Linked DNA regions of Oryctolagus cuniculus. The protein of the gene in region 3 purifies or fractionates together with the protein of the main gene of each other region. This does not show direct contact. Links are inferred from orthologs where the notes say so. Each region holds a gene or a part of one and is shown on either strand. Other genes may lie near its edges.

The links.
Region 1: the proteins of CPSF1 (region 3) and FIP1L1 fractionate together in Homo sapiens (co-fractionation; 8 studies listed by BioGRID and IntAct, with this or other methods). This does not show direct contact. The link is inferred for Oryctolagus cuniculus from reciprocal best matches to the Homo sapiens genes CPSF1 and FIP1L1.
Region 2: the proteins of CPSF1 (region 3) and SYMPK fractionate together in Homo sapiens (co-fractionation; 5 studies listed by BioGRID and IntAct, with this or other methods). This does not show direct contact. The link is inferred for Oryctolagus cuniculus from reciprocal best matches to the Homo sapiens genes CPSF1 and SYMPK.

Annotation. Positions count from the first base shown.
Region 1 is NC_091439.1:110,490,803-110,494,443, forward strand, and holds part of FIP1L1 (pre-mRNA 3'-end-processing factor FIP1), read right to left. Parts: intron 3,394-3,641; coding exon 3,263-3,393; intron 2,965-3,262; coding exon 2,896-2,964; intron 1,098-2,895; coding exon 1,002-1,097; intron 1-1,001.
Region 2 is NC_091449.1:11,171,240-11,175,481, reverse strand, and holds the start of SYMPK (symplekin), read right to left. Parts: upstream 2,890-4,242; 5' UTR 2,887-2,889; coding exon 2,669-2,886; intron 1-2,668. Other genes in the region: FOXA3 (hepatocyte nuclear factor 3-gamma), read left to right, coding at 3,711-3,779. UniProt on the Homo sapiens protein: Scaffold protein that functions as a component of a multimolecular complex involved in histone mRNA 3'-end processing. Specific component of the tight junction (TJ) plaque, but might not be an exclusively junctional component. May have a house-keeping rule.
Region 3 is NC_091437.1:168,121,190-168,124,830, forward strand, and holds part of CPSF1 (cleavage and polyadenylation specificity factor subunit 1), read right to left. Parts: intron 3,143-3,641; coding exon 3,001-3,142; intron 2,792-3,000; coding exon 2,613-2,791; intron 2,536-2,612; coding exon 2,399-2,535; intron 2,334-2,398; coding exon 2,159-2,333; intron 2,047-2,158; coding exon 1,837-2,046; intron 1,752-1,836; coding exon 1,662-1,751; intron 1,583-1,661; coding exon 1,439-1,582; intron 1,366-1,438; coding exon 1,213-1,365; intron 780-1,212; coding exon 663-779; intron 566-662; coding exon 475-565; intron 407-474; coding exon 322-406; intron 251-321; coding exon 109-250; intron 35-108; coding exon 1-34. UniProt on the Homo sapiens protein: Component of the cleavage and polyadenylation specificity factor (CPSF) complex that plays a key role in pre-mRNA 3'-end formation, recognizing the AAUAAA signal sequence and interacting with poly(A) polymerase and other factors to bring about cleavage and poly(A) addition.

The DNA.
Region 1 (3,641 bases), on a different chromosome or scaffold from region 3:
CATGGAAGACTGGGATAGAGTTCCAGGCTCCTGGCTTCAGTCTGGCTCAGCCCTGGCCATTGCAGCCATTTGGAGAGTGACCCAGGTCATTGAAGATGCTGCTTGCTCTCTACCTCTCCCTTCCTCTCTCTGTACCTTTGCTCTTCAAATAAATAAATAAATATATCTTGGGGCCAGTGCTGTGGCTCACTTGGTTAATCCTCCGCCTGCAGCGCCAGCATCCCATACGGGTTCTAGTCCTGGTTGCTCCTCTTCCAGGCTAGCTCTCTGCTGTGGCCCGGGAGGGCAGTGGAGGATGGCCCAGGTGCTTGGGCTCCTGCACCCACGTGGGCGACCAGGAGGAAGCACCTGGCTCCTGGCTTCCGATCGGCATAGCTCCAGCCGTAGTGGCCATTTTGGGGGTGAACCAACAGAAGGAAGACCTTTCTCTCTGTCTCTGCCTCTCTCTAACTCTGTCAAATAAATAAATAAATAAGAACAAGAGTGGATGGGGCCAGCATTGCGGTGCAGTGGGTAGTCTCTGTCTGAGACGCCAGGATCTCACATGGGTGCTGATTCGTGTCCCAGCTGCTCCACTTCAGATCCAGCTTCCTGCTAATGACCAGGGAAAGCAGCGGAAAGCCCAAGTGTTTGGGCCCTTGGCACCCAAGTGGGAGACCCGGATCAACTTCCTGGTGACTAGCCTCAGCTTGGCTCAGGCCTGGCCACTGATGAGAGAACCAGGAGACAGAAAATTTCTCTCTCTCTCTATCCCTCTCTGTAACTCTTCCAAATAAATTAATAAATCTTAAATTTTTTTTAAAGAAAAGGATGCGGTCAGTTTTCTTCTTACGCATACCTATCATACATGTTACCCAATCTCTCCACCCCACTCTGAATTCTATAATTACACAACTCACCTGCACCCAATTGAGTGGCTTATCTTTATACCTATTACATTTCAACTTCCTTTATTTTAACACAAAGACCTTACTCATACTAAAGTATTTAGAAGGCTGTACCTCAAGAATGTCAGAATGCTGGTCCTCACTGAAGCTGTATAAGCACCTAGAGGTTCGTTTGTACCACTTTCCCCACTCGTTACTATGTTGGAAAATCTACACAATGAAAAGCAAAAGAAGTTACCTAAAAGAGGCTGATGGCTTGTCGCTCACTTGACTAAGGATGAAGACGAAGTATTTTTATTGTATATATGAAAATTTAATTATGATTCTTAAATCCAAACATGTGCCCATTCAGCTTTAAGAGTTCCACTCCTAGAGTGCCTACAGCAAGCTCCCTAGCTGGTCTGATTTTCCTTATCCCCCTCCCGTTCTAGTCTAACCTTCTGCCAGTTCCTCTTCTGAAAATCAGATGTGCATGCTTTTGCCAACCCTCAAAGCAGCTTCCCACCGTCCACACCAATGTTTGCAGGCAGTTTAAGATTAAGGACTTTCTCATCATGGTCCTAGTGCTATTGTTTCCTACAGATCACAACACCCACCTAAAGGTAAAAGGACTGCCACAGACATTAAAATGCACACTCTGTTCCAAATCCAGACATTATTAGTATCTAAGCACATTATCAAGGCAAGAAAACTATTACACTCTACCCATAAGTTCCAAGTCCTTACTCATTCAGAAGCCAATAAATCAGACTGCAAAAGTCAATGACCTCTGGTCCTATCACCAAAATAAACCTCAAAATAATTTTTCCACAAACATTATGCATATAAAAAACACAGCTGCAATGACTACCTTTGATGAGATTAGTCCTACTCTGTTTCTAGAAGTCAACAGAAAAACAAACAAAAAACCAAAGTATTCAGAAGCCAGCAGTCTGCAAAGGGAGTTGTCACTTCTGATGCACCACTGCACACAACCTGTTCCAGGATAACAATTTAGTCACTGCCTAAGTCCAGAGTCAGCAAAGAGAACCTGACCTCCTTTTAAAACAGGGGAGACACCATCACATATTTTCAAAATATTTTCAACAGAACAAGAACCAAATACTTACCCAGAGTGTGATGTTAATTAAAATTAAGTTCACTATACAGAACTGTGTCCAGCAGAGCGGCTACATCTGCGGATATAGCACATGCAATGCATAAGGCAGTATTTTGGTGGACAGGGCTGCAATCCCAAAAGGGGCACAGTTCCATACTCAGCCCACAAAAGTTTCCTGAGTACAGAATCCAAGCTGAAAGCCACTCCCAATCTTCATCACAGTGCAATTCAATACACAAAGACAGTATCAAGGTAAAGAATGAAGAGCACACAAAAAGTTTCAAGACAGAAGTATGAAAACATCACATTATTGTTTGGGCTAAGTCTACCTGTGTTGCTACCACGGAATCGAACAGTAGTATCAAATTTCAACCAACACCCTTTATATATTAATTTTAACAATCAATGGCTTTATCCCAATGTTGAGTTTAGAGTCTCAGAGAATTCCTAAAATTCTTGAAGATATCTGGAACTAAGAGACATCACACCAATGATCTCAGCATCATATAGATAATAACTGCATACCACGTGCCTCACCATTTTATAAACACTCAGGAGAAAGAATCTCCAGTTCTGCTGGTAAAGATTAAAGTGTGATCTACAATGAGAACTTAACCTGTTGCCATGAACTTTCAGATCCTACAAACAAACATGTACTATGTCTCAAAAATCACAACATACAAGCAAAGAATAGTTTTACTTGGCATGTTAGTATAACAGGCTATAAATTCACATGCTTGCAAAAGAAGAGATAAAACAACAATCAGCAAACTTGTAAGTCACCAGGAAGCTGAAGGTTTGGAAAAAAGGCAGCTATTTCAATTTTAATTCTGTCCCTTGAGTAGTGGCATGGGAGCAGACTCAAGAACAAAAAATGAGAGCAACCAAGGATAATTTACTAAAATTCACCTTAAAAAGATTGAATCTGTCATCTTGGATCTCTGCACCTGGTGTAACTTCCATAGTACAGTCTTCGGCCTAAGTTAAATAACATATTCCCCATTAAGATACCACATAATTTTTAATTGATAGGCCATAAAAAGACAAACTAGCTGTGGCTGGTCTGTGACTTGAAACTAAAAACATCAGACAATCATTAATATAAAACTCTGGAAGGGAAGGAAGGGAAGAAAAACAAACATGGTAAAGAGAATGGAATTCTTAAACTATCGTATGGCATTATTTAACCACCTTTATAGGGAAAAAGTGATTTAACTGGGGAGCACAAGTGGGACTGTAGAAAAAGCAAGGGTATTCTGGAATATTTACTAATTACCGTAATCTTATTTGTAGTAGAGGTAACTGGTATAACTTCAAGTCCCATTCGTATCCTCTTTTGCTTTTCACAGTAAGCTTTCCAAGTATCTTCATTAAATCCATAATTAAAATAATCAGAAAGATCAGCACCTAAAGATGAAACACACTTTAAGTATACAAATATATCAATTGTATTCTTATACAGCCTCAAAACTGTTAACTAGAAAAATATAGTTTTACCAGTCTTGGCATCTACACCTTCTACTTTTACCAGCTCTCAATTATCACTACAAACCAAAATACTACAAACATTTTAATCTGAATTATTTCCTTTAGAAATGGTGCTGGGGCCAGCACTGTGGTGTAGTAAGTTAAGCCTCCGCCTGCAGTGCCAGCAT
Region 2 (4,242 bases), on a different chromosome or scaffold from region 3:
CTGCGTTTCTCTTCCTTCTGGCCTGGAAGCCCCCTCCCTGAGGAGCTCACAGGATGCCCCCTCCTCATTTCCCGCAGGTCTTCCCTCGCACAGCTCTGAAGCCAGGCCTCCCTGATCGCCCAGGGCCAGCTCCCTCTCCCACCCTGTGTGGCTTTATCTTTCTCCGAGGCGTACTGATCGGTAAGCTCCATGAAGGCGGGGACTTCTCTCTGCCTTGACTTCCATACCCTCAGCAAAGAGAAGTGCTTGGCGCCCGGGGTGCTCAATACACTGCTGAAAGAGTCCACACTCCCGGCCAGGGCTCCCCACTGCCCGGCCTCAGGAGCCCTGCCCTTTGGCGCTACAATGCTTGGACAATTACAGGTGACACCTGCCCAGCACTTAGCATGTACAGAGGGCAATCCCGACATATGCACAAGCCCCATGACACCAGCTTTTTGAGTTAGATACTCAGGATTTTCTTTTTTTAATTTTAACTGATTTGTTATTTATTTGAAAGGCAGAGACACACAGAGACAGACTTCTGCATCCACTAGTTCACTTCCCAAATGCCTCCGACAGCCAGAGTCAAGCTGAAACCGGGCACCTGGGCCTCAGTTCTGGTCTCCCTCCCGAGTGGGTGACAGGGAAGGGAGCGCGTGAGCTACCATCAGCTGTCCCCCAGCGCGTGCCTTGGCAGTGCTGGCTTCAGCACTCAGATGGGATGTGGCATCCCACTGCTGTGCCAAACCCCTGCCCCAGCAACTGACTTTAGCCTCCGTGTGTGTGTACAGGTGAGGGCACTGAGGCCAGAGAGGGGAAGTCACGGCCCAAGGGCACACAGTGTGGCGGCGGACCCCACCGAGCACTGCGCGGATGAAAGCGTCCCTGTGCCCAGCCCAGGTTCGAGCGCACGCTGGCCCCCTCGTCAGAACCCGAGAACCTCCCCACTCTCCTCAGATGCTGATGCGCCAAGACCCAGTGAGAGGCGTCACGCGTCACCCCGACTCCTCCCTTGTCTGCTGTCTGGGCTGTGCCCTTGGCTGTCTGTCTTTTTTGTAAGCCCAAACATGTTCCCCTTCGGCTGCCGGTGGCCGATGTGTCCACCTCACAGAGGGTGCACCTCAGGCAGCAGCAGCCTGAACCGCTGGGTCAGCACCCTCTAGATGTTCGCCCAGAAATCGCCCAAGGTCGCGGTGCCCGCCGCGCGTCCCTGTGGCTGCGCAACCCCGGACCATGGCCCAGGAAGCCCGGGGATCGCACAACCCGGGGCCGTGGACCGGGAAGACTGCGGGATCACACAACCCGGGACCGTGGACCAGGAAGCCCGCGGGATGGCACAACCGGGGACCGTGGACCGGGAAGCCCGTGGGATGGCACAAGCCGGGGCCGTGGACCAGGAAGCCCGCGGGATGGCACAACCCGGGGCCGTGGGCCGGGAAGCCTGCGGGATCGCACAACCCGGGACCGTGGACCAGGAAGCCCGCGGGATGGCACAACCGGGGACCGTGGACCGGGAAGCCCGTGGGATGGCACAAGCCGGGGCCGTGGACCAGGAAGCCCGCGGGATGGCACAACCCGGGGCCGTGGGCCGGGAAGCCTGCGGGATCGCACAACCCGGGACCGTGGACCAGGAAGCCCGCGGGACGGCACAACCGGGGACCGCGGACCGGGAAGCCCGCGGGATGGCACCAGCCGGGGCTGTGGGTCGCGAAGCCCGCGGGATCGCACGACCCGGGACCGTGGACCGGGAAGCCCGTGGGATGGCACTAGCCGGGGCCGTGGACCAGGAAGCCCGCGGGACGGCACAACCGGGGACCGCGGACCGGGAAGCCCGCAGGATGGCACGACCCGGGGCCGTGGACTGGGAAGCCCGTGGGATGGCACGACCCGGGGCTGTGGACCAGGAAGCCCGCGGCATCGCACGACCCTGGGCCGTGGACCGGGCAGCCCGCGGGGACAGCGCGGCACGGGGCTTCAGTGCGCGGCCGCGTCCTCCCGTGGAGGCACGCTCGGAGGGCGGCCCACGACCGCCGCACCGCACAGAGCAGCTCCACGCGTGTTCTTCATTCATTCCACGAGCATCCACGGGCCGTCTCCGGCGTGACAGGTGGGAACCCAGACACACCTTGGCCCCCACCCTCACTCACAGTCAGGCGTCAATCAGCACACAGACAGAGCTCTCGCGACCACCGAGCGCACACGTGACGGGGAGGCGAGGGACGGGCACCCACGGGCGCACTTCACTGGCCGATTTCGGGGCGGAGGGCGGGAAAGGGCCTCGCAGAGGAAGTGACGCGGGCGGCGAGGCCGCAGGATGGGTGCGAGCCGGCCGGGCAGGTCGGGTGGAAGGGTGTCGCGGGCAGGGGCGCACAGCAGCCCGTGCAAAACCCCCAGAGCGCGGAGCTGCGTGGCGCCCAGGGGAGCCGCAGCGCCGCGGCGCCTGCGCGACGGGGGCACCGGGCACGCACGCAGGGCCCAGGCCGGCGAGGTCGGCGGGACTGACGCGCCCGGGGCCACGCTGCAACCTCGCCCCGGGGCCGAGCCGGGGAAGGGGCCGGAGCGGGAGCGTGGGGGCAGACAGGGGTCCCCAGGGCCGCCGCGCCCCTCTCCCCTCGGCGGCCCTCCCCGCCTCTCCCAGCCCCTCCGCCCCCCCACGCCAGGCCCCCCGACGCCGCCTCCCGCTCACCGCGGCTCGGGCCTCCGTCCCCCTCGCGCCCCCTCAGCAGCGCCTCTTCGCAGACGCCGCCGCCGCCATCTTCCGCTCGCCGCCGTAACACTGCGCACGCGCCGCACATGGAGGGCGGCCGGGAAATGGAGTCCAGACCACGGTCCGACTCCGCCTCTACCTCCTCCCGCGCGGGCCGCCCTTCGCCCTCCCCGGAGTGCGCCGGGGCCGCCCTCCATTTCCGGCCGTCGGCGCTAGGTCTTCTGGGAAATGGAGTGCCCTGGTGGAGGCGCCGGCGGAAGTGGGCAGAGGGGCTTCTGGGAAATGGAGTCCACGGCCGTTCTGAGTCCCTGGACGGCCGGCTGGCTGGTGGCAGTGCAGTCCGGGCGGCGAAGCTCCTGGCCCTCGGAGGTGGTGCGTTGTCCAACTGGGGTCTGAGCCGTCCCCGGCCCTTCTTATCTCTGGTCCTGAACGTGCACACGTCCTGAAGCATTTCCAGCCGTCGGAAGTCTCGGTCTTCCAGTTCGTCCAACGGGAATGTGGTGTCGAGGGGCTCCTCATAGTGACCCACCGGTGCCCTCAGGAGGCCCCTTCGTCCGCCGCGGCCACACCGGCCCCTGGCTTTTTGCCCTCTCAGGTCGAGAAGGCGAAACCCCCCGGGGTGGAAGGACCCCGGGCCTCCGCCGTGGGGGCCTTGAGGCCAGCGAGGATGGCCCTCCCACGGGCCTCCCCCTCACCCCGGGCGGCGTCCAGCAGCAGCGTCCAGGGGCTGCGGCGGCTCCCGACGCCCGAGGTCTGTGTCCTCGCAGTCCCGCAGGGGGCGCCCCAGCCCGAGCGCACCGCCCTCGGGGAGGCGGGAGGGGAGCCCGGGGCGGGCGAGGGCGGGGGGTGCCCCGGCTATAAAGCGTGGCCGCCTCCCGCGGCGCCCGGGACTGCGGGACCCCGGGCAGTCGGACCGGCGCGCGCGCGCGGGGCGAAGTCGGGCCGTGCCCGCCGAGACACCCGAAGCGCTCGGTTCCCCCGGGGGCCGGAGCGGGGGCAGGTGGGGGCGCAGGCCCGGGGGATGCTGGGCTCGGTGAAGATGGAGGCCCACGACCTGGCCGAGTGGAGCTACTATCCAGAGGCGGGCGAGGTGTGTCCTCGGGGCCGGCGGAGCGGGAACTGGGGGGCCGGCAGCGGGCTGCGGGCTCCCGCGGGGCTGGGGCGAGGTGTGCGCTCGCAAGGGGCCAGGGCGTCTAGGTAGGGAGCTGGGTGGCCGAGGGGCGCGGGGGCCAGGTGTGAGGGTCGGGACGCGGACGAGCCGCGGGAGTCGGGAACGTTTAGGCTAGGGTCAACGTGAGGGCTGCGTGTGGGGACCCCACCTCCCAGATCTGAGCGAATGAAACGCACAAAGCAAAGATAGGAACCGGAGCTCCACGGTAGGGGGCCAGAGCTAGGGACTTCCAAGAAAGCGGCGCTCAAAGTTAGGAGGGAAGGTAGGGACTCAGAAATGGAGACCATTTAGGGAAGTCGGCGGCGGGCGCTCAGGGCTAGGATGCGGGATCCTCGGAGAGGCAGAAATCAGGCTGCGGTGCGTGCACGGGGATCGGCTAGCG
Region 3 (3,641 bases):
CAGGCACCACCTCGATCACATCCATGATGAGGATCTGCAGGGCAGAGGAAGTGTGGGTGGCGCAGGGGCGGCCGGGCGCCGTGGTGAGCCCTGGACCCTGGGCCTTACCCGCCCGCGACACGTGACCTCCTCGCCCTGCATGAGGCAGGTCCCCGCGGCCACGTAGCCCTTGAGGCCCGACACGGTCTCCTCGCTGCGCAGCGACACTGTCTTCATGCAGGTCACGTGCTCCCACTCCTCCAGCTCGATCCTGGGGAGGGGGTGGTCAGGAGGCCAGGCCGCCCAGCCAGGCCCTCCCACCCCGCCCAGGCCCAGCCTCACCTGGCGTTGGGAATGGCCTCCCAGCTGACCGGGGAGATGAGCTGGATGGAGAAGGCCTCTTGCTGTGGGTGGACGTATCGGTCATCTGTGGGGACACGCTGAGGTCAGGGGTGGGGCTGTGCCCAGCACAGGGGTCCCCTGAGCAGGACCCACCTCTCTCGATGGTCTCAAACTCCTTCTCCTCGCCTGTCATGCGTGGGATGCGGGTACACGGGGTGTTGGTGCTGGTGGCCACAGCGTACACCTGGCAACCAGCGGGTGCCACAGGTCAGGAGGAAGGGGCGGGGCAGGGCACGCAGACTGCAGTTCCCTGGGGGAGAAGGGCGGGGCAGGGCACAGACCTTGGACTCCACGTGGTAGGCCACGTAGTGGGCTGTGCAGCGCAGTGGGATCTTCCTGACGGGCCAGGGGGCGTCGTAGGACAGGTAGGCAGGCAGGACGCTGATCCTCAGCTCTCCCTGGGGCGGGTGGGTGGAGGGGTCAGCCGAGCCTGGCCCTTGGCCCAGGAGACCTACAGGGTGCTGCACGCAGGCGGTGGCCTGGGCACCTCAGCTTCTGCTGAGTCTGCTGAGTCCACCCTCAGGGACTCCCCTACGGCTGGAGACAGGCCCTGCCGGGGGCAGCCACAGACTGGGCACGCCCAGGACTGCAGACCGTCCACTGCCCTGGGAAGCACTCACCTTGGTGGCCCCAGCTCGCGGAGGGTGCATGCCCCCGACACACAGCCCCGAGGAAGGGCTCCTCCGGCTAGGGCTGTTGGGCCCACGTCCTGCACCCCTCCCCACGTTAAGCTCCGGATACCACCCCTTGGGCCGCACCAACCTGCACAAGGTCACCCCTGGCCCCAGCACAGCTAAGGGTCCTCGTTCTGGGGGCCCAGGGCCACTCTACCTGTCTGTTGAAGTAGAGGAAGCCACGGGGGCAGTTGACATTGTGGAACGGGGCGAAGGAGTCGATGGGGCCATCAATGCCCATGGGGTGCAGCCGCAGGGCCCCCCGAGCCGTCACCAGCAGCCAGTGCGGGGAGGGGCCGCAGATGAACACCTGGAGGCAGGGGTGTGAGCATGCATGGAGGCCCCGCCCCGCCCCGCCCCGCCCCAGGAAGGCGCCAGCCTACCCCCGAGTAGCCATAGATGTCCTCAAAGTAGCGGAAGCGAGCCACGCGGCCGCGCGCCCCCGGCCCCTCCTCGCTGCTGCCGCCTTCCGCCTTCTTCTTGGACGGCTTCGGCTTCTTCTCCCGGAAATTGATGTTGTGGGGGACCTGGGGGCAGGCACTGTGAAGGCCCCGCTGGCCCCGCCCCCAGCCCCCAGCGCCCCCCAGGCTCTCCCACCCCTAGCACCTTCTTGAACCGGACTTTGAGGTTGCCCTGGCCAAGCTGTGAGTCGTGGGGGAAGGCCTCGTAGATGAGCAGCTCCTGGTCCACGTGCACCTGCAGGGAGGGGCTGTGCCGAGTGCTGTGCGTGTTGGGGGCGGGGCGGGGCGGCGCGGGGGGGGGGGGGGGGGCTCGCACTCACCAGCAGGTAGGGCCTGCTCTGGCGGCTCCCCAGGGCCACCAGCAGCACCTCCTTGACCAGGGGCAGCTCCCCTTGGCGCGTGGCCTCCTCCTTGCGGGCCTCAGGGCCTTGGGTGGTGGGCTGTCCAAAGGAGCTGTCCACCAGGACCCGCTGCCCCACAGGGAAGTTCTTCACCAGGAACACCAGCCGCCAGTCGGGGAGCTGGTAGATCTGAGGGAGCGAACAGCAGTGGTGGAGGCAGGAGGGGCGCCCTGCTGCGTGCTAGGAAGCACCCCTCCTCCGTGACCCCCCCCGCCCCACCCCGCGCTCGGGCCCCACCCACCTCCATGGTGCCGTTCTCCCGCACCAGCAGGCACCAGTGCGTGGGCTCGGCGCGGAAGGGTGCGGGGTCCCGGTCGGCGGGAGGCTGGCTACTCCTGCGGGCCTCCTCCTTGCTGGGGCTGAAGAGGGAGCCCGAGTCGCCGTACAGCATCTCCTCCTCGTCGTCCACTGTGGGGCTGGGGGCAGCAGGTGGTCACAGGCTGCCCGGGAACCCGACGCCCTGCCCCCAGCACCTGCTCACCTGGTCTCCGAGCCCAGGCCCTCGGCCTCCATGCTGCTCCGGCCGCCCAGCTCGTCGCGGGCCCCACCCAGGCGGCTCTCGGTGGTGAACATGCCACTGACGTCCCGGTACAGGCACAGCGCGATCACCTTGGACTGCTGCGGGGAGCAGGCGGGGCTCAGTCTCGGGCGGGGACACGGGTTGGGGGAGACGGCAGGGCGGGGTGGGGGCCTACATGGTGCAGCGGGGGCTTGTGCAGCGCCAGGCGGTGGTGGCGGCCCCCGTAGGAGTCGCTCTTGAGCAGGAACATGGTGACGTGGCCCTCGGCACTCATGATGACCACGTAGGGGTCGGCCACGGCACACTGCACGATGGGGGCGCCCAGGTCCACCGGGATGAAGTGCAGCTGGTTCACTGCGGGCACAGCGCAGCGGCCGGCTGTCAGCACACGCCCGCTCCGCGGGACCCAGCGACCCCTGGGCTGCCAGCTCAGGGCAGCGGGCCGGCTGTCAGCACACGCCCGCTCTGCGGGACCCAGCGACCCCCTGGGCTGCCAGCCAGGGCGGCAGGCACAGCTGTCAGCACACGCCCGCTCCGCGGGACCCAGCGGCCGCCCACCCCACCTCCTTCCAGCAGGCGGATGCCCAGCGGCGACACTTGGACTATGTAGCGGTTGTCCCCGATGTTTCCGGCAAACACCGTGGGGCCCTGTGTGGCAAAGCCGCTGGTGTCCAGCTCCATGATCTCCTGGCCCGTCTGCAGGATCTGGGGGCGACAGTGGGAGGTGAACCCTCCCCCCCCCCCCACACACAGGGGACCCTGCCCTCCGTGATCTCCTGGCCCGTCTGCAGGATCTGGGGGTGACAGTGGGAGGTGAACCCTCCCCCCCCCCACACACACACAGGGGACCCTGCCCTCCGTGATCTCCTGGCCTGTCTGCAGGATCTGGGGGTGACAGTGGGAGGTGAACCCCCCCCCCCACACACACACAGGGGACCCTGCCCTCCGTGATCTCCTGGCCCGTCTGCAGGATCTGGGGGTGACAATGGGAGGTGAACCCTCCCCCCCCCCACACACACACAGGGGACCCTGCCCTCCGTGATCTCCTGGCCCCTCTGCAGGATCTGGGGGTGACAGTGGGAGGTGAACCCTCCTCCCCCCCCACACACACACAGGGGACCCTGCCCTCCGTGATCTCCTGGCCCGTCTGCAGGATCTGGGGGTGACAGTGGGAGGTGAACCCTCCCCCCACACACACACACTC